Arabidopsis thaliana: one gene and its partners. The protein of the gene in region 2 interacts with the protein of the main gene of each other region in a biochemical or structural test. Each region holds a gene or a part of one and is shown on either strand. Other genes may lie near its edges. The genes, in order: AHP2, HK3, AHP3 and AHP1.

What was found.
Region 1: the proteins of HK3 (region 2) and AHP2 form a complex in vitro, tested with the Arabidopsis thaliana proteins (one study listed by BioGRID).
Region 3: the proteins of HK3 (region 2) and AHP3 form a complex in vitro, tested with the Arabidopsis thaliana proteins (one study listed by BioGRID).
Region 4: the proteins of HK3 (region 2) and AHP1 form a complex in vitro, tested with the Arabidopsis thaliana proteins (one study listed by BioGRID).

What each region holds. Positions count from the first base shown.
Region 1 is NC_003074.8:11,263,152-11,267,516, forward strand, and holds AHP2 (histidine-containing phosphotransmitter 2), read right to left. Parts: upstream 2,412-4,365; 5' UTR 2,258-2,411; coding exon 2,192-2,257; intron 1,973-2,191; coding exon 1,842-1,972; intron 1,762-1,841; coding exon 1,690-1,761; intron 1,607-1,689; coding exon 1,535-1,606; coding exon of another isoform or gene 1,531-1,534; exon of another isoform or gene 1,480-1,530; intron 1,467-1,479; coding exon 1,394-1,466; intron 1,285-1,393; coding exon 1,228-1,284; 3' UTR 975-1,227; downstream 1-974. Other genes in the region: UGD2 (UDP-glucose 6-dehydrogenase family protein), read right to left, coding at 4,224-4,365. UniProt on the Arabidopsis thaliana protein: Functions as a two-component phosphorelay mediators between cytokinin sensor histidine kinases and response regulator (B-type ARRs). Plays an important role in propagating cytokinin signal transduction through the multistep His-to-Asp phosphorelay.
Region 2 is NC_003070.9:9,485,083-9,493,280, reverse strand, and holds HK3 (histidine kinase 3), read right to left. Parts: upstream 6,393-8,198; 5' UTR 5,502-6,392; coding exon 4,995-5,501; intron 4,714-4,994; coding exon 4,432-4,713; intron 4,230-4,431; coding exon 4,060-4,229; intron 3,972-4,059; coding exon 3,759-3,971; intron 3,663-3,758; coding exon 3,476-3,662; intron 3,383-3,475; coding exon 3,331-3,382; intron 3,217-3,330; coding exon 2,987-3,216; intron 2,899-2,986; coding exon 2,800-2,898; intron 2,714-2,799; coding exon 1,608-2,713; intron 1,519-1,607; coding exon 1,254-1,518; 3' UTR 1,180-1,253; intron 1,086-1,179; 3' UTR 649-1,085; downstream 1-648. Other genes in the region: AT1G27330 (Ribosome associated membrane protein RAMP4), read right to left, coding at 215-217; NTF2A (nuclear transport factor 2A), read left to right, coding at 7,491-7,787. UniProt on the Arabidopsis thaliana protein: Cytokinins (CK) receptor related to bacterial two-component regulators. Functions as a histidine kinase and transmits the stress signal to a downstream MAPK cascade.
Region 3 is NC_003076.8:15,747,037-15,751,790, reverse strand, and holds AHP3 (histidine-containing phosphotransmitter 3), read right to left. Parts: upstream 3,061-4,754; 5' UTR 2,998-3,060; coding exon 2,785-2,997; intron 2,296-2,784; coding exon 2,165-2,295; intron 2,084-2,164; coding exon 2,012-2,083; intron 1,920-2,011; coding exon 1,848-1,919; intron 1,749-1,847; coding exon 1,676-1,748; intron 1,597-1,675; coding exon 1,543-1,596; 3' UTR 900-1,542; downstream 1-899. Other genes in the region: AT5G39350 (Tetratricopeptide repeat (TPR)-like superfamily protein), read right to left, coding at 1-862.
Region 4 is NC_003074.8:7,577,036-7,581,779, forward strand, and holds AHP1 (histidine-containing phosphotransmitter 1), read right to left. Parts: upstream 2,755-4,744; 5' UTR 2,503-2,754; coding exon 2,443-2,502; intron 2,218-2,442; coding exon 2,087-2,217; intron 1,995-2,086; coding exon 1,926-1,994; intron 1,822-1,925; coding exon 1,750-1,821; intron 1,662-1,749; coding exon 1,589-1,661; intron 1,457-1,588; coding exon 1,397-1,456; 3' UTR 677-1,396; downstream 1-676. UniProt on the Arabidopsis thaliana protein: Functions as a two-component phosphorelay mediators between cytokinin sensor histidine kinases and response regulator (B-type ARRs). Plays an important role in propagating cytokinin signal transduction through the multistep His-to-Asp phosphorelay.

The DNA of each region.
Region 1 (4,365 bases), on a different chromosome or scaffold from region 2:
TCCATTTCGGAAAAAAAAGGGTCTATTTCCAAACTATTACCAGAGTTCAAAGTATGACTCCGATCTATAATTTTATATATCTCTAAAACTAAAGTTCTATACCTAGTTTTCTCCCTAAAATAAAATTTCTATATACAAATCTCTCCAAATTAATAGTTCAAGATATATCAACCCACAATTATTGGTTTCATTGGTTTATTAACGGGATAAATGTCATTTAAATCATCACTTTACCATTTCCGTTGGTTTTGAAGCATAAAATCTCGATCTAGTGATTTAAATCCTCAATTTTATGTTGACGTTCAATATAATCACGAATTCGTTGACTAAGCCAATTAAGGCACATCGTTAGAAATCTTTCTAATCAAAATTTTTGATTTTTTCTCTCTTTTTCTTCAGAATCTCTCATCTTCTTTGGAATTTCTCTTCTTTTTCGAATTCAAAGTAATATTTCGTCTTAAGGTCGATTGACGACATCGAAAAAAAGAATTTGTGTCTCAATTTGCTTAGTCAACAAGAATTTGTGATTAATTTGAAAGTCAACATAAAATTAAAGATTTAATTCACCAGATCCAAAGTTCATGATTTAAACCAACGAAAATGGTAAAGTGATGATTTAAATGACATTTTCCCCGTTTATTAACTACATGCTCCGTAATCTCGTCGAAAGCGGTTTGTGATTTATCCTGAAAGAATTACCATATTTTCTTAGAATGTCCATTTCGGATATCGAATGGGTAATGGTTTAGATTTAGGTTTTAGGGTTTACGATATTCATATTCTGATAAGGAGACAGGTTGTAAAAATTTGGAAAGTCACTACCAAACTTTTACTAATTTGAGTAAAGGTCAACTTCGAGACAAATAATTCAGATAATTACGAAAACATTATGGGCAAATTTGGGAAACTAAAAGATCTAAACACACAATTTTTAGAAGCACCCACTAGTCAAGACTTACTTAGTAATCACTATATCTTACTCAAACCAAACCTTTCAGAAGCAAACCAATATATATTATCATCACATTCATTAGTCCAATGGTTTCAATTTTCTCGGATGAGATCAAACAATACATACTACTGATTTATAAACAACCATCACTTGTTTTTGTTTCTTTTTGCACATATTTTATTGAGTTTTTGAGCAAACACCAAATCCAAAATAATTTAGAAGAGAAACTAAAGAAAGAAAGTCATCATCTTTTTTCTTCTTATGGACTAGTCTCTTTAGTTAATATCCACTTGAGGAACTATACCACCAGCTTGAATGATCTGTTTCTCAAGCTGAAACAACAACAACAACAACAATGTCAATGATTTGTTCATTACTCATAACCAAAATGATTCATTAAAAGCAGAGCCAAAAACAGAGATGGATTCTATTCACACTCACATTGAACATATCTTGAAGCTTTGTCTTTAACGCCTTGTACTCAATATCCACTTGCTGCAAACATCTCACACACCTGTAACATAACATGAGACTATTATTACTCAACCAATGAGTCCCAAGAGAAAACCATAACTCGCTTACCCTTCGTAGTTCTTAGCTTCACAACATTCCTTGAAGCTAACACACAAAGTTTTGACCCTCTTGGCACCAACACTACATAGAAACAACACAAAGCTTTTCATCAATCAACAACACACAACTTCTGCTACTTATATAAAGCGAGACATGATACATACCTTGAGCTACTACCCTTCAATTGATGCACACTAGCACCTACCTGACTAAAATCTACAGTTCCTGTCGTGTCCCTGAAATAGAAGTAGCCACAATCACACTTTAAGACAACACAAGCAATGATGATCTAGCTGAGAGAATATCAAAAACTTACAAAGCTCTAGCCATGTTACTGATAAGCTTCACACAATCTTCAAAGAAAAGTGAAAGCACTTCAGACACAAAATCAGGACTTCCATCATCTTGTAGCTTTTTCAACTCAGTAAATTGATCATCCAAAAACCCCTTCACATAAAAAAAACACAAACCCATGAATCTAAAGTTCCAACCTTTACACAACTCAAATCCCTAAAAATCATAACTTGTAAAAATCTACATAAAGATTCAATCTTTCTTCACTTTTGTCATGAATCTATGCATATAGGAGTCAATCTAGTGTGTATATGAGCTAAATTAGCTAAGCAAAGAGATGAAATTGGGTTTGAAGAATTGTGGAATTGAAACCTGTTGGTAGAGAGAAATGGTGTAATCACGAAATTGTCTCTGAAGCTGAGCAATGAGAGCGTCCATGAGAAGAGTGAAGCGGAGATTGGGAGAGGATTTTTTTGTTTGGACTTTGATTATTGACTTGGATTTCTGGAAATAGCCAATCCCAAGAAGAAGAAACTTGTGTTTTGTCTTTCTCGCGAATTGTAACGCTGCTACCAGATTTTTTTACTTTAAATGGGAAACAATAATTAAAAGAGAAACACACAAATATTTGGACATTTTTATGTATTTATTTATTTGGGTGAAAAAAATTAAATAGAGAATTTTCATAATTAACATAATTTTAAAGTTTTTTTTGATAAAAATACCATTCAAAAGTTTTGTGAACATAAATAACACTCAAATAATTATTTAATTTTTAATTATTACAACTAACATTTAAAAAAATACAAAAATTCATACCAAAAATTTTCAACAATATTTTTCTACAAAATAATTTCCGTCAAAATTTTTCCACCAAAAATAATTACGCCGCCCACATTTTACCTACAAAAAAAAATTCAGAATTTTTTTTACAAAATATAGGAAAGATTTTAAGCAATTCAGGAAAGGTTTCACGAAATTTATAATTTTTTTCTTTTGTAACCCTTCCTGAATTTTGTAGAATTTTTCCTGAATTCCCGAATTTTTCTTTTTCGAAATTCAGGAAGAATTTTACGAAAATTTTTTTTGTAAAATCTTTCCTGAATTCCGTGAAATCCTCACGAATGTCGTAGTTAGCTTCCTCAAGTTTTTTTACAAGAAAAATTTGACGGAAAATTTTTTTTGCGGGAAAATTTATTACCGAATTGTTTTGGCAGAAAATTTGACGAAAAATTTTTAGCGGAAAATTTTTATTTTTATTTATTTAAATAAAATTAATTATTTATATTTAATATTTAATTAAAATTTTGAAAGCTACTTGTGAAATTTTTCAAAAAGTTGTTATTTTTGGAAGAAAAAATTTTGTTGGTGCTATTTTTGTCAATCCCAATTAAATATTTTTTTTTTGGGAAACATTTGGATTCAATACAAGTTTTTAAGTAAATTATTGGTATTTGGTTAATTAATAAAAACTCTTTTTCTGAAAAATATAATATGAAACACTCATTTAATAATATTAAATCTAATTTAATTTTCTTATATAAAAGAAAAATATCAATCTTATGTTTCGATTTACTTGGAAAAATTAAAGTATTTGACATTATATTTTCTTTTCAAAGACCCAAAAAAAAAAAAAAAAAATTGCAACTTATTATTTCGATATTTTTAAATTACAATTAGACTAACCATTTAAAAGAAAATTTTGTGTATAAGATTTTTAATATTATTCACATATAGTTTTTTATGGTATCAGAGCTATATGTGATATGGTAAACTATTCACATTACAGATTGGAATACTCACCCAAGTTATGTAGCCAACTTCGGTGTGCGTACCTAAAAGGTTAATATGTGGTCACTAGTACTGTAAGGAATGCCTCTACGAATGGATTTATGCATATTTACTTAAACAAAAAATACCAATCGCAATGAGAGACATACAAAAACATAAAGCTTTAAATATGGAATCGTTAGGTGTCACTCAGAAATCAGAATCTCCAACCTGGAAACTTTTACAAGATGCGTTTGGTTCCTAATCCACCAGAGAAGAGATATCATGTGATTCTCTATGAACAATGTGCAAATATTCTTCCGAGTCAACTCTCGCAGACAAAGCTCAATAAGTGGCAAAACTTTCAACGATTAACTACAAAGTACAAACACATTTTACTCCAATATAAACCAATATTTATTTAGTTTCTAAGGAAACAACAAAATTGAAGCGACATTGTCGAATACAAGTCCTCTTCGACCAAAAAAATATGAAAGTAATACCAAAAAAAACAAAACACACACCAGAGAACATAACAAACATATTGTAAGAAATATAACAAGTCTTAAAGACAAACCACAAGAAGAAGAAAAGCACAAATGATGGAGGACGAAAGAGTCAGCAATGAACATCATTAGGCAACGGCAGGCATGTCCTTGAGCCAGTCGTCGAGAGGCTTACCAATGGAGTAAACAATGAAACCAATCTCCCTTAGCTTTTGCAGATTCATAATGTTTCTTCCATCGAACACGAAAGCTGGTTTCTGCATGTTGTCA
Region 2 (8,198 bases):
ATCTGTTAGATACAATTCTTTTGGCGTGATGCGAAATTGCCCGTGATTCAACAATATTCAAACATAGATTAAATCATTGATAAGACGATCAAATCCTCAAAATAATGAATTTCACATACTGAATCTGTGAATCAGATCGGAGGTACAAAACACAATTCTAGCTAATATAACATGAATACCGATAATAAGAAACAATCGAGATCGCGGGCTATACCATGATTACACCGGAGAAGAAGCGAAGAATTTCTTTTCTCCTTAGTCTTTGCGCTTTCGTTTTTTTTTTTTTTTTGGTTTGACTAAATTTGTCTTGCTGGTTTCAAAATTATTCTGTCACGGACCTTAAAAGGGATCGGGTACTGCAACTCACCGTGAACGTCGTCACAACCATTCTATGATTGGTTATTGAGACGTATGATGTCCACGTGGCGGTCAGTGATTGGATTCCGATTATTGAAATGCTTGAGAAAAGCCCTCTCATGTTGATGTGGTGGACAAAAATGTGACCTAAAGGTCAATCTGAAAATCTCACGGACGTGTTTAAAAGTCAAACAACCACACTCACGTTTTGGGGTCCACGTTTCTATAGTTCTTCTACGTGAATTTAGTTGGACACAAAACACAACTATTTGAAGACATTCGGTTCTGTTTCTTGATTCGGTCCGATCATTTGGTTTTGGTTCCAATATGCATTGTACGTAAAGAAGGGGAAGAGAAAGTAAAAGCTATCTTCAACTTTATATCACAAAGCCAGTGTATGTATAAGTAGTAATGTCCACTTCCCTATCTTGGACCATGATGATAACAAAGAAACTGCAGCACTGTTCTCTAATACAAGAAGAAATATCCTAAATCATGCACACACACTTTTACACACATACTATGATGCTCTCTTCCCTGTCCAAAGCAACTCTGAATATATTCCAGCTGCTACTCTCATCTACATACCACAAGTTTTGTTGTCTCAATCAGACCAGAGAAAAATGTAGAAAAAAAATTTACAGGAGAAAGTACTGGTCCTAAGTTCTTGGCCTGGTCACACCGGCCTTTCTATATACACTCTTTTTGCAATCGTCAATCTGTTTTTCCTATAAACAAGTTCACATAAGGCGTTACTGTCAGTTGAGAAGACATGTTTTTAGGTGAGTAAATATATAGAGAGGAGGAATATAGGCGGCTTACTACTACTTCAAGATGCATAGGAGACACGAGTTTTTGTGTTTCCTTCGCTGTTCTTCTTCCAGCCCCATCTCCTCTTATGATTCTGTATCTGAAGGCGAATTGAAAAAGCGAGAAACTTCCCTGTACAGCTGCTCTGCTTCAAATGGTTTTGATACATACCCATCCATTCCACACTTCAGACATTCCTCATGCGTTGCTTGGATCACATCTGCCGTCATTGCTAATACCGGAAGATGCCAGCTTGTTTTGTTACCGTTCTCTACTATCAAAGCCTCCCCATTCTTTATTCTCTTGTTCATCTCCTCTTCCATATCTCGTATTCTCCTTGTAGCTTCAAATCTGCAGAAAGACAGGGCAGAAAAACATTTCAATTTTCTTATTACATATTTCGAACTTTTCAAAAAAACTAGTATACCAATCAGGCATACCCATCCATTTCTGGCATCTGAATGTCCATGAAGCAAGCATCAAACTCGTGAGGTGGCTTAAGCAATGAGATTGCCTTTATCCCACTCTCAGCGCAGACCACATCAGCTCCGTACTTTTTCAGAGCTCCCGCTGCCACTCTGAGGTTTACGTTGTTATCATCCACGATTAAAATTTTTCTACCAAGGAGAAGATTCCTGAGAATCAAAGCAGGAGGTCCCTTGTGTTGAGGTGGTTCTCTGATTCCAATACCCAATCCCCTCTGCAAAGTTGCTGCTAGCATACTCGCCCTCAATGGTTTCACTATCACTATTGGAGGATCTATACCGGTGCATAAAGCCTCTGATATTGACGATTCTACTGAGTTTGCTAACAAAATCAACTTAGGAGAAAGGAAAAGAGGGTCTTTCTGTAGCTTTTTAATGAAATCATCTGCTTCCCTATTCCATATTTCTTGCTCTATGAGTATCATATTCACAGTGGTAGTACCAATCTTCAGATAATGTAGAGCCTGTTCAACACGTGGAACTACTTCGACTCGAATTCCAAGACGCTGAAAATGGTACCACGAGACTTTTGCCCTTGCAGGCCTATGGTCCACAACCACAGCTTTCATGCCCCGGAATTCCGAGAATATGGGCTGGTTGTTGTCATTCTTTCTTTCAGCTGGTTGCATCCCATTGGAAAATACAGCAGTAAATGTGAATGTGGACCCAACCTTGGGAGTACTCGAGAATCCAATTTCTCCCTTCATCAGTCCAACTAGACATTTGCTTATGCTAAGTCCAATTCCTGTGCCTCCATGCGTCCTGGATATGGATGGTCCGACTTGCATGAAAGGCGTAAAAATACGGGACTGCGCTTCTACAGGGATCCCTACGCCAGTATCCTCAACTGAGACGATTAGGTTTATATCAGGGGGAGATGGTTCAAAGCTCCGATGCCCGTTGGAGCTGAAAGCTTTAAAGTTTTCCCAGCTCCTCTGCCGGTCTGCAACTGGAAGCCCACTCAGTGTACTTTCCGGAGATGATGCTGTCTCTCCATCGATAGATTCAAATAGCTCATCCACCAAATGAACAGTTACAAAGATGTGTCCTTTCTCAGTGAACTGCCAGAATATATATAAATGATCAGCTCCGTTGATCAACTCGGATGCAAGGAATGGTCAGAAAAAAACATAATAAAAAAGTTTACCTTAATGGAATTACCCATAAGATTTGTGAGTATTTGTCGAAACCTCCCAGGATCACCAATTAACATATCTGGAACACGATCAGATATGTATACTGCCAACTGCGTTCATCAGCAACACTCAAAAAATCAGTAAGAAAGACTTGCTATCAGTTACAACCCTTGCTTTGCAGATCATATAGTAAGTTACCTCCACCCCCTTTTGTTGGGACTTGCTAGAGAAGAGTGACAGGACATCATCTAATATTCCTCTCAAATCAAACCGCACCTCCTCAAGTTCAAGCTTTCCAGATTCAATCTTTGCTTGGTCCAAAACCTCATTTATTAGCGAGACTAAAGCTTTTCCACTTGCCTGTGCGGTCCTAACATAATCCTGTTGCGTAACATCTAACTCTGTGTCCATAAGCATATGCAACATTCCTACACCCCAGATCAAAGTCAACATGAGAATATTTGGTTAAGTTTGTTCTTCAGAAAATATTCATGGGCATAGGTGAGAGAAGGAGGCAACATAGTGGCCATTTCGATACTCACCTAGAACACCATTCATTGGAGTTCTGATTTCATGTGAAACAGTGGCAAGGAACTGCATAAAAAAAAGTTAGATTACAACTCTTCTCTCTGTCATAGAAAGTTTAATATGCTGTGGAAATTTATCAACTGAGGATGATGTATTTACCTGTGACTTTGCAACATCTGCTGCTTCAGCCTTTTTCTTGAGCTGCTTCATTTTATCACAATCTTCTTCAACTTTGTGTATTCGACTAACGGTTGCGTGGATTATATGTGCAACAAGTAACGCAATCACAAGGATACCGAATGATGTCACCATTGATAGCACTGGCCATGGTGGTTTCTGCTTAAATCTACAAAGAGGAAGAAGCTCACAACAAAATGTTAGCACCTGGATTCTTGCAAACAAGAAGAAATTACAGACATATGTATGTGCCAACTGCAAGTACCTGCAACGCATCTCATGCTTTCTCAATGGATCGCCAAAGATTAGTGGACTAACACGTTCCAACCCATCAGCCGACACATTTGTACCATACATGCTAATCGGTTGAGAGTGATTGGTGATATCGTACACATTGACAAGAATCGTTTGCTTGCTAGCCAGCTGTTGAAGCAAGTTTTCTACCAGGGACTCAATGTCAAACACTCCCCCGAGATACCTTCAGGGGCATCAAAAGAGATGAATGAGCAAAAATAATGTTGTAAAACTTATGCGTTATTATTTATTTAGACGCCTATGCTACACACCCGTTAGTAGCCTCAATTCTCTCTTTTGGCGTTGCATTGGAGGGGAGATCTCTCTTGTACACTGCAAATGTCAGGATCACCCCAAGTCTATTTGTCTTTATCAATGGGAAAGGAGCTGTCAAAACCCCTTTACCTGAACTCCTGGCCCGCAAAACGTTTTCACGATCTTCCTATCAAGAGGAATTGAGTGAGAATAAGTATCAGTTAAAACAGTGCTCTAAACTTTAAATAAAATGATCAAAACAACTTAATCGGTAAGCCGAGATTGAAATATGAACTAGCCATGTCGGCAGGATTCGCCCGGTAGTGAGTGTAGACCATGATAGTAAATTACATAAAAACAGTAAAATTAGAACCAGTAAAGAAGCTTACTTTCCCAGACAGCATATCGAGAGAAACAACGTGAGAAACAGTGTCCTGAGCAAAGATGACTGGAGCGTACTCTTCTTGGACAGGGGATGGTTCCAAAGCTTCCAGGTCATAGTCATCCTTGTGAACTGGGTTTTGTTCAAGAGAATACATCTTCCTAATAGTCCAACCTTGTTGCCTCTCGAACTCTTCCCTCTCTGAATGGAGCACCCTCATAGCATAAGCTACCCCGCTAGTAAGAGGCCTCTCAAAGGAAGTTCTATCAGTGTACTCTGAGAATGTTCTCTACACAAAGCTTCTTAATGTTAGTTACTGTTCACTAATACTCAAGAAGATAGGAATCAAGCTACCAAGTGTTAGCTAAATACAAAGACTGTAAGCAACAATCAGCAAAATTGTAAATCCTAACTGAAATTCGAGAGCAAGTTGAATGAAAAAAGCTACCATCATCCAAGGACCGTTCATATACTACACCGTAGGAACAACTTATGTACTACAAGCAAGACTAGATCTCAGGCATCAATCCAAACAGATTAGAAGACAAGAAGATGCGGAATCGAGAATACCTGATCGATAGCAGAAGGAATCTTGCCATGGTGGAAGGTTGAGATCAAGATAGACATGGCTTGAACATGATTCATGCTAACGTTGAACTGATCCTGCAGCATACGAGCTCTCTCATCACACATACTAGCTAGCGTCTCTTTCCTCTTCTCCATAGCTTGCGAGCTAAAGTACCAAAACGTCCAAATAGAGACCAAGACCCAGAAGACAACCCAAACCACCACAAGCTTCCTCCACCACGCCTTGTTGAATTTAACAGAGCCAAGAAACTGATAAGAGAAACTCGGGATCTTGAGTCCGCTGCTAGAGATCTTATTCCAGAACCACATCTTGTTCTTCTTCTTCAACGTAGTCATCTTAGTCTTCTCAAGATCACCGACAGAGCCAACTAAAAGACCAGACTTGTCCTCGATCCCATTATCAACGAACCAAGAAACAAACCAGCAGCATAGCATCCAGAAGAGATGCCCAATCTTGACACCAAACCCTAGCACATGGAACAGACTCATCCACCACTTGAATACACGATCAACCCCCAAGAAACAGAGTGATTGCAACCAGCTCAATTCAACTCAGCAAGAAGCTCTAACAACCAAACAGAAACCATGTACAAAAAGGGACGAATCAGAGAATCAAAAAGGAAGAATTTTTTGGGGTTGGGTATTTAATAATTAATCCTTGTAGGCTTCCCACAAACGAGAAGAGAAAAGGAAAGCTAAGACAGAGGAACGTGTCAGATTAGACAACCCAAAGGCTGAAATTGAGAGATCAAAGTGGTTACTTAATCAAAGATGACGAAAGATAAGAGAGAAGAAAACAAAAACAAAATAAACAAAGGTAGAAACTTTGAACAGGAGCTTAAAGTTTCCAAAGCGAGATTCCTCGAAATCTAAAACAGGAAACTAAAATTCTACAAGGGGAGTACGAAAATTCGCTAGAGCTTGCTCCAATACAACAGAAATCTTTGAGTGTGATGATGATGAGTGAAAGAGAGCGAATAAAGCAACGAGAAGAAGAAGAGGAGCTGGAGACTTGAGTGAATTATCAAATGGAGAAACTTAAGAAAGAGGAGCAGAAGTAGTAGTAGAAGAAGAAGAAGAAGAAGAATCTATCATCGGAAAAGATGAGAAGAATATGGTGGAAGACAAATGTCTGCTTCCTTCTCTCTCTCTCTCTCTCTATTATCTGATTATCTTTCTTTTCTTTTTTCATTCATACTTCCATTAATATATATTTTAATCTTAAGCTGCTTATGTACTCCTAAAAAAAATACAGATAAAATTCAAACACAAAAAATTATATCCTGCTGATGATGATGTTAAAACTCGATTCTAGAAGAAAAATGTTCATAGTTGAGATTCTTTGAGTTTGTTTAGTAAGATCTGATTTTTATAAACAAGTTTAGAACCTCATTAATACTACTATTAATAACACCAAATGATTGGTAAAATAACTTACCTCTATTTATATATAAAAGAAAAAACACTAAACGGCGCAGGCAAAAGAAAAAAAAAGGCTAAAGGGACCCACAAGAAGGGAACAAAGGCATATATGGTCTCAGTTCTCACCCTCCAATAATAAAAATAAAAGGCGTGTTACAATTTATTATTATGAAAATGGTTTTTTTGCAGTAGTTGGTAAAGTGACCAAAATTGTTTGGCCATTTTATCAAAACTAAACTACACAAAAGAATTATACAAGTTAGTTTAACCAAAGCTTCCTTCTTTAGTCAAATAACTCTATATATATAACTCGGTTTGTTTTTTCAATTTCAACATACACTTTCCTTTAAAGAAAAAACAAATGGCTAAAACAAAATACAGAATCATTTATTTTCTTGGTACGTCATCTGTTTTACACGTGTCGATATCTTAAAGCATAATCATTTCATTTTGTTTGCAATTGCTTACATAAATTTATTTTTTTAAAATGGGATTGCTTGAAAGTTGAAACACACCAATCAACGGTTGTTCTCTCACCCATGAATCATGATCCTTTTTCTTCCACCTCGATCTTCCAGATTCAACACATAGACATAGGATTTAACTCATTTTGTTTTAGATCTTTTAGAATTTAAAGGATTACTTTACAAGTTATATTATAAGAGACTTTCTTTTTATTTCACAAAGATAAATGTTTTAAATTTTCTATCCAAAATTAATATTTCATTTCATAATTTTCCATGTTAGTTAAATGCTTTAAAATATTATCTTAGTTATATCAGAATTTGATTAAAAATCTTTAAATGGTGTAGGAATCAAATGAAGTTAGTCAATTTACCAATTGAGCTATACTGTTGATTGTCCCATATATTAACGGGCCCAACTTGAAAAATATAAGGCCCATTTAAAGTATCGTCAAACACTCATTTCAGTATCTCTAGTCTTGGTCCATTCGTATAATTTTTCAGTAAATTATCTAACCCTCTCGATCCTCTCTCGCCTGTTGAAAAAGCACGACGCAAGAGCTAAGGATCAAAAAGGAAGACGAAGAAAGAGATGGATCCAGACGCTGTTGCAAAGGCTTTCGTTGAGCACTACTACTCCACCTTCGATGCAAATCGTCCAGGGTTGGTTTCTCTATACCAAGAAGGATCCATGTTGACCTTCGAAGGCCAGAAGATCCAGGGCTCTCAGAACATCGTCGCTAAGCTCACCGGCCTCCCTTTCCAGCAGTGTAAGCACAACATCACCACCGTCGATTGTCAGCCTTCTGGTCCCGCCGGTGGTATGCTCGTCTTTGTCTCCGGCAATCTTCAGCTCGCTGGTGAACAACACGCTCTCAAGTTCAGCCAGGTTTTTTTTTGCCTTATCTCTTTCCCTTGGGTTTAGATCACTTCGATTTTTAGTGTTTCCTTTGTATTCCTCGCTGTTGATCATGTACGATAGGGTTTTTATCCTTACTGCTCTGTAGATTGATGTGTGTATTAGGTCACTAAAAGCTTCAATGATCTGGAATTGTCTCGAAATTTTAGACCCTCCCTGATGCATTTAGTGATAGATCTGTGATAAGGTTGGAGATAAAAGAGGTTTCCCCCAAATGATTGCGTAGATCAGTAGATGTAATCTTGTGTCATTTAGATTTTGTCTTGTGGAGCTTCTATCTCCTTGCACTTCGTGAATGTAGTATTGGGAAACTGCTTTGCCATGATTCTGCTAGTTTTTTTCAACTATGCTCATATGTGATCTTGTTGTAGTTGTAGATAT
Region 3 (4,754 bases), on a different chromosome or scaffold from region 2:
TCCACGTGATCACATCCCTTCGTTCCATCCTGTCAAAAACAAATCTCGCTTCATCCATACGACCACATTTCAAGTACATATTCACCAACGCATTCTTCACCTCAATTTTATCCCCTAACCGCTTCTCTTCCACCAACTTATGAACATTCCTCCCCATCTCCAAATCCTTCAAGTGACCACAAACAGGCAACATAGAAACAATCGTAGCATGGTCAAGATCAACACTTTCATTAACCATCCAATCAAACATCATTAACGCATCATTCATATAACCATTCCTATAATACCCACTAATCATCGTGTTCCACGAAATCACATCACGGTTCTTCATCACATCAAACACATCCCTCGCCATTTCAACCTTCCCAAAGTTCATATACATCGCTAACAACGCGTTCTGCACATACTTATCCCTACCAAACCAACTCCTCAAGATCCTCCCATGAACAACCAACCCCAATTTCATCGATTTCAATTCTCCAGCAGCTTTAGCAACAAAAGGGTATGTATAACCATCCGGAACACACTTAACCCCCTCACTAACCATCCTAATAAACACGCTAATCGCATCGTGATACAATCCTTCACGCACGTACATTCTAATAACAATGTTATAAGAAAGCAAAGAGCTTTGAGGCATTTCCTCGAACAGCTTCCGTGCATAAGTGATGTGACCACATAACGCATAAGTTACGGAGAGAGTCGAGAGAATGTGGCCGGAAACTCGACCGCCGGTGATGACGTGGCAGTGTAAAGCTTTGGTTTTTGAAATTGATTGAGTAGCTGCAAAGTGATTCAAGAGAGATTGGTATTGCTTGACGCTACTAAGTGCGTTGTTGGCTCTGCGCAAAACTTCACTCATTTAAAGAAAAAAACGACTGTTGAAAAATCTATTGGGTCGCAATTTTTTAAAAGCAACGACATATCTAACCAAACTGCGTGACGTTTGTATTTTACAGTGAGAAATGCTTGACGTTTTCTTATTTTACAGTAAGAACTGCGTGACGTTTGTATTTGACAGTGAGACTGCGTTGACGTTTTGTATTTCACAGTGAGAACTGCGTGACGTTTTCTTTCTTAACATTAGCTGATGGGTTTAACTTTAGGTTTCAGCTTTCACAGGGGACACTTGTGAGTGTTTGTTCTTGGTTTGTTCCTTTTGCCAATGTCTTCGTGAAGCTTTTTGCTTTCAGAGTCTATTCTTTTGCGCGTTGTCTTGTGTAGCTCTCCTTGAATTTTCTGCTTCTTATGATGCTTCTGTGTCTGGAAATATTCCTGTTTTTGAATACATAACTCACTCTTGTTCATATGGTCTTATGAGATGCAAATTCATACTATTCAGATAAGATCAGTACCAAGATTCAAGAGATGATGATACAAAAGATACATAGTATTGATCTATGAACAACAATCACCTCTCTTTTCCACACATTCTCAAGAGTTTTTTTTCTTTTTCGAAGCAACAAATTCGAGTAGTACTCGTCTGAAGAATGCAACTGGATGATCATCATCTTGCTGTTCTGTTGTCGATAGGTCTATTGTTTATATATCCACTTGAGGGATTCTACCACCAGCTTGGACAATCTGTTGCTCAAGCTGCAACAAAACAATGCAAGACTTATTCACGAAATTCGAAAGCAAAAAACCGACACAATTCACGTAGCTTTTCACTCACATTGAACAGATCTTGAAGCTTTGCTTTTAATGTCTTGTACTCAATATCCACTTGCTGCAAACATCTCACACACCTATAACAGAGATTGTTTCCCAAATTAGTTTCAACAATCAAATGAACATAGCAGAAATTTGAGATTCTCTTAAAGAAGAACCGGAAAACAAAAGCTTACCCTTCATAGTTCTGAGAGTCGCAACACTCCTTGAGGGTAACACAAAGACCTTTGACTCTCTTGGCACCAACACTTCATAGAACAACAAGAAAGGAGCTCTTCACTGAGACTAGATCCGAGATTAGACTAAAGGACCGAGACTATACAGATCAAATGTGACATACCTTGAGCTACTACCTTTGAGTTGATGAACACTAGAACCTACCAGTTTGAAATCTACATTTCCTGTCTGATCTCTGAGTATACATATGAACCAATCATTAAACCATATCTGCTAGCTTTTGATGATTAAACTCGTAAAAGAAAAGTAAACTTACAAAGCTCTAGCCATATTACTGATAAGCTTCTCACAGTCTTCAAAGAAGAGAGTAACAACCTCAGCCACAAAATCAGGACTACATTCATCTTGCAGCTTTTTCAATTCTGTGAATTGATCATCCAAAAACCCCTTTACAAAACCAACACAAAGAATCTCAGAAACCCATTTCACAAAATTCCCAATTCCAAATACAAGCTCCAAGTACCCTAAAAACAGTAGAGAGTAGTCATCCCTAAAAAGAAGACAACTTTGAAAAAGAGACAATAACCCATTTCACAGACCCTAAACCCAATTCCCAAAATCCCCAATTGCCATATACAAGCTTCAATAAGAACCCTAAAAACGTAACCACAAATTCAAAGTTTGCTTCACCAGAAAAGTAATCACTTTGAAAGGAGACGACTTTGAAAATGGAGACAATAACCCATTTCACAATCAGTAAACCTAACTCTTAAATCCCCAGTTTCCAATTTAAAAGCTTCAATAAGAACCCTAAAGACTGTGGAGAGCCATCTCTAAAAAGGAGACTTTAAAACTCAACCACAATTTCTAAGTTCTCTTCACAAGAAAGTTAATCACTTTTATCCTGAATCTCTAAGGAGAGATGCTAAAATTTACCTGGTGATAGAGACTAATGGTGAAATCACAAAATCGTCTCTGTAACTGAGCAATGAGTGTGTCCATGGCTCTCTCTACTCGTCGTGAAGGCAAAAGCAGAGAGAAGAAGAAGATGTAAAGTTTGTTTGAAATTGCAATCCCAATAAAGAGATTCTTACAGATCATCAAATTTGGACAGAAATAAATAAAGAAATAGTCACAAAGCTTTTCCATAAAGGGCAGAGAAAAAGAATTAGAATATGATTAGTTGTCAAAAAGACAACTTTTACAAGTGAGAAACATTGATTTAGGCCATAAAAAATGGAATCTCTAATTCATGATTGATACATTCATTCATTCACTCAAAGTTTTTAGCATTTTCCAATGTTAGGTATGTTTCTGTTATGTCAATCCACCAACACTAAGAATCTCTCACGCTGGAAGATTCTCTATAGACAAGTTCATTTGAAGCATTACCGTGTGGACAAGACTGAAGAACATTGGTTCTATTCTTTTGACATGAGCTTCAGAGAATCATATACTCTCATCAACTTGACCTCATGAAAACAACTTATAGTGGCAGATTTTGCTGTTTATGACAAACTAAAGGGTTTTTTGCACTAATATTAAGTTGTTTGGTAACATACTTATTAATATTATATCGTAGAGGCATTTAGAGTTCTTTCTTACCAAAATACTCTACCTTCTTTTTTTTTGCTATAACAGATTTTGATATTGGACTTGTTTTTTCGGCTGTTTAGATCTTTTTTTGTTTGAGTGAAATGTTTTATTTTTCAATTTGTTGGAAACAACTAATATGATCGCGAGTGTCATTTTGAGAGTTGCGGAGGCAGCGAGCTGGCTATATAGTAAGGTCAAAGGAGGTAAATCTGGCTTTATTCGGTAACACATCTAAGTTTAGACATCGAAAGCAAGAACTTTTGTTTAGAGGCATTCACATTTAAACTAGGAAACTTTGGGTGAGAAGTCCACACGTCTTGGCTATATATGAATTGCTAAGCTGAAGCAATATGAGGTGTTACATACCTCCTGCAAAATTAAGGTCTATATAATATAACTAGAGCCACCCCAAGCAAAATTAAACAATGGTTGTTAGCGCCAACAAATTTGTAAGGTTTATTTAGAAAATATTAGCATATATAAATGGTATAACTTATGGTGAAAGATTCATATATATGCTTAGGATAGTATATAATGATTAAGAAAACAAAGTGTAAAATTATAAGTGTTAAATCTTGGTGACCTGAGTTGAGTTGAGAATTGAGTTGTGAGATTAATACCAAAGAAAAAAGTGACCTGACTTGGATCTTAAAATCTTTCTCTTTTTTTGATGAGACGGATCTTAACATCTCTCTCGTTTATTGGTAAGGATCTTAACTACTCTCTTTAATTTAGTAAATATTAATTTAAAGAGATCTAAATGTCCCAAAATCTTAATAAAATTATAAAAAACTCCAAAAAAGAACATTCGGTCCGTGTGTAGCTATGTTCGGATTAAACGTTTTTAATAGGTAGGTATTGGATCACCCCATGCTTAGCAAATTTTTAAACACTAGATATATATATACAAATTTACTATCACAACACAAAAGATAAAGATCCACCTTTGGGAGGGCAGACCATGCACCACACCATTAATTAGAGATCTTGCATGCATATTGATCTCATAGATGCAACATTTGTGGAGAATGAAAATACCATCCCAAAAATTGAATATCATGGAGGAAAATAATTGCAACTTGTCCGTCAAGGATAAATGCCTCGTGTAGAAATCATCATAACACCACGTACAACTCCATGATATTGCTCTAGAACATATCTATTGTTCGTAAAGAGAGAGAATTAAGAATGTTCAACACTTAACATCTAGAAGAAATATATTCCATTAATTAATTTATAGGAATTTAATTTAGGTAAAGCAAGTCCATATCAAAACGCAAAAGAATTTAGAAAGTCCATCATTTGACAAA
Region 4 (4,744 bases), on a different chromosome or scaffold from region 2:
TAGCCGTCAAAAAAGTAGTGTATTGACTAATGTACTAATCCAACGGGAATCACTTACACCATATTGTGGCTTTGTGGGAGACTTTAATTAAGAGATGTTTGTATGATAATTACATTACATATCTGTACTTTCAAATCTACACAAAATATACGTAGCGTAACCTAACACATTAATGAATAATGATGCATGTATAATGTGTTTCATGTGTGTTGAAAGTTGTAACTAGTGATTTAGACTACAGATAGGAGAAAACTTAATGGAATTATTCAACCTATCTCTTGTCTTGATTACTGATTAGTCTTCTTCTTCTATGCATATATTTTCACCAAAACATGCTTCCCTTTGGATACTATGCATGTTTGAAACAATAAAATAGGAATAAGATATTGATTATAACCAAAAAAAAAAAAGTGTTATTTACCCTATGATCCTTATTTAAATTTGTAATCGATAATAACAAGGTGGAAGAACATATAAACATCATATTTTTGTCATATTGCATAATTAATGGTATGGTTCATTATACATACGAAATTACGAACTGGAAATCTTAATTATTATTGAAAAGACAAAAAGGTCACTTGAAAACAAAATTAAACAGAAGGTACAATTAAAGGAACTAGTAAAGTTATGAACAAACGATGAAGGGAACGCTCATTCTTTACCCAAAAAAGTTCAAATAAAAAAGATGGAGCACTAATTAATACGAGTATAGAGCAATACAAAGTTATAAGTGGTAAACTAGAAGTCTAGAAATCGAACATGAGGTTATAAATTGGAGCCATATATAGTCGACGACAGGTCACGGATCTGTAAGTAATTAAGAATTTTGTCATTATTTTATTTTTAGCTACATTATTTAACGTGCACTCACATAGTATAACTTTATTTTTTTCTTAATTGCATTGTATAAATGTCTGAAAATCTTTAGAGATTCGTCGAAGTGCAATCGTAATAAAAAAAAGATTTCCAAGATCATCATGGATGTTTAGTACGGGCCCTTTGTTATCATCTTGGGCTACTAAAATTCATATGGCCCATCTGTGTTCTTTGGTCAAGGACTACAAGACTTCTAACTACTTCTAACAGTTACAGTAAAACAACAACCTAATACCTAACCAAGTTGTCCGGATCACATTACCTTGATGCGTACATTATCTTGATCAAACTCTATATAATTGTAGTCATGACTCATGACTATATGTTTGCTTGAGATCTTATTTTACATATGTGGGATTTAGATGTGGATTAAGAAACGTTTTAGCATGTCTCACTCTTCCAATGGCACAAAGAAAGAAGTTCACATAAGAACCTTTTTTTGATAGTCACATAAAGAGAGGAAGAAGAGAGAGTCCAAAATGAAACAACAATGGACAGAGATGTTTATGAAATTCACTCAAAATCCGAGTTCGACGGCCGGGATCATTCCACCAGAAGCTACAATCTGTTGCTCCAGCTGCATAGATTCGATCATCAAAACCAAAATTGAATCAGATAAGTTTCAAATGTTGATCAAAATATTGTATAACTAGATAAGAGTTATGTGGGTGGTTTTATAAAAAAAAAAAAAGTCTCTTTGACTTTTTACCTTGAACAGAGTCTCTAATCTGTTTTTCACAAGATAATACTCTTGCTTCACTTGTTGCAAACATCTATGACATCTGAAATTTTTCAACGATGTATTTTCCTAATCAGATCTTAAAACAAAGAAATAACGAATGGACCAACGAACATATCGATTAAACTCACGCTTCGACATTTTGCTGCTCGCAGAAGCTGCGGAAGACAACACAAGCATTCTTAACTCTCTGTGCTCCTATACTGTTATTTTTTGGCAATATATATTGTTACACATTTCAAGATCAAGAAAATGTCATTATCATTGGATTAAAATCAGAAATAGCCAGTTTTGTTTTTGTTGTTACCTGGAGCTGCTACCTTTGAGTTGATGAACATGGGGATCAACTTTTTTAAAGTCTACAACTTGTTGATCTCTGCCCGAAGCATAAAAAAACAGTGAGAAACACAAGTTTTGGAAAAGAACAAAAAAAAAAAGATTAAAGAGAGAATGTGTAAAGAAGATTACAGGGAAAGTGAGAGATCATTGAGAATCCTATCAGAGTCTTGGAAGAAGAGTGTGACAACTTGTGAAACAAAATCTGGATTGCTTTCATCTTGTAGTTGTTGCAGCTGCAAGAACTGGCTGTCCAAAATCCCCTTTTTTGTATTTACCCAAAACAAAAGACTTTCCATAATCAGAAACTAATTTTACATAACCTAAACTCATGATTATCTTACCAAAGAAACTACAAAAGCCTAACACATTTTTACTATAAGTCCTAAAACCATTTTTACTACAAGTCCTAAAACCAGAAAGAAAAAGTTGTGAACGTTAAAACAAGTTTTCTGATTATTTGATCTTTTCAAATGTGAAAAACTTACTTCTAAGAAGAGTGATTTGGTGTAATCTTGCAAACTCTTCTGCTTCTGAACCAAATCCATATTCTCTGTTATTTGCTTTTGTTCTTTATTTCTTTGTTTCTCTCTGCCAATAATGGAGGTAAGAAAATGTCCAACAAAATCCTCAGTACTTAAAAGATGAGAACAAAATCCTCCGTATCAAAAAACCCTATTTTTTAAATTTAAATAGTTTGTATTTTATTATTACAATTTTGGTTTGGATGTGAGAAAAGAATCCAAAAAGAAAGAAACTCTTAAAGAATGGAAGTTGGTCGTGCTGTCAACTGTCTAACCATTCGCGCCTTTTTTTCCTCGTTTTTTTTGCAAATGTGATAAAGACATAAGAAGAGCATTTGATACTTCTTGATTTGTCTTTTTTTTTCTTAAGATTTTAAAACATTTTATTGGTTCGAATATTTAAATTACTGTACTACTGATGAAAAGCATATACTAATATGCACAGCTCGCATTCAATGTATCTTTCAAATAGCATCTCTAGGGAAACTTTATTTGTAATATAATTTTGATTTGATCCTCATTGTTTTTGTCCAACTAGCAATTCTTTTATTATAATAATACATTGATTGGTTAGTTTATTTTATATTGATGTATCACAAATATCGTAACGTAATGGGTTTATCAAGGAAATTGTGACTTTGAGAACTCAAATGCCGCCTAACACTTTGTAATGTTGTTCAAAACCAAAACTAAATGCAGCTTATAATTTCTTTAGTCATATATCTCGTCCAATCATTTGGTGGAATTCTTATTAAACTAGGATTTATCATATTTTGTGTTATACCAATATTTTTCATTATAATCAACCACTTATCACAATTCAAATGTTTTTTCGTGATTTCTCAAAGCTTTTCTATTTACTCGTTTGTCACTTGCTCTATAAATTTCTTTCAACTAACAATATTTCAAAACAACCTAACAATATATATGCAATAGCTCATATCCTTTCAATCTTTCATAGAGTACTACATACAATATATTTTTACGTAACATTTTCAACTACAACGATCAGCACACCAGTCTCATCTTTTTCAACCACACTATTTCTTCATTTGCATATCCCTGGTATTTTCGTCACTCCAAATACTTTCCCAATCATACTCATACACACCATTCTTATCTATTTCCTCATGCACAGTAAAATGACAATTTTTTCCTTAGACAATTCGTATTTTCAATAACAATTTCAACACGTCAAGCCAAAATAAAAATAGTAAATTAGTTTCACTGTATTAATTTCTGCAAATTTGGGTAAACATCAACGCTTTGACACGTCTCACATGATGAATGGACATGGGACATGCAAGAACGTAGGATGCGTTTAACGAATGGCATAAAACGTATTATATATACTAACTAACCAAAGATTATTAGTGGTTCTTACTTGATAATGGGTCCATCGTAAGAAGGTTCCATCACTAATTATGGACCTTTCAAATCTTATTATGAATTTTGATATCTTACATTATATTATCTCCGTATAAAAGTTAAACTGTGCTTCCTTAGTTTTTAACAAATTTATACGTAAAAAGTCAAGAAAGAGTTTGCACTCACCCATATCTCCAAGCAATTTATTATAAGAAAATCCTTATAGCCAATAGCCATATCAAGTTTTTAAAAAGGTTTAAAGCTAGAATACAAGTCGCTGTAGACGCAGCCAAATACGATATTATTTACTAAAAACAAATAAAAGGTAAACATGCAGAACGAGTTAGTCGATTTGTTGGTTCACTGCCAATTTCAGGTTAAGTTCAATTTACACAAGTAAAATAAATTAGTTGTCAATTTTATCTCGTGTATGGGCTTGGTTGGTTCAACCGCAAACAAAAAGAAGAAAAAAGTGAGTTTAGATATTAAAATGGTGTATTTACATTTGTAACACAATACCGTAAAAACAATCCATGTTGACGTAATGGTTTCACATACGATAAACACACTTTTAGATCATGTAAAATACAAATGCATGTAAACGTAGATTTTAAAACACAAGTCCATATTCTCTATCAATTTTGTGTTATCACGTTTACAAATTATGTTTGATAAAAGAAAACTAACCGCATTTTAACATATAAACACAAAAACAACACATTCAAAAGACATTCAAAGTCGTTGTATAGTCTTAAAATTTTTACGGATCCATAAGAGAAACTTCTCTTTAGATTCAGTCAAGATTCATCACCAAACGTGTGCTTTATTCGACGCCTTAGAAATTTCTTCGCATTTAGTTCCAAAACTCAATAACTTATCGAAGAAATTATAATCAACC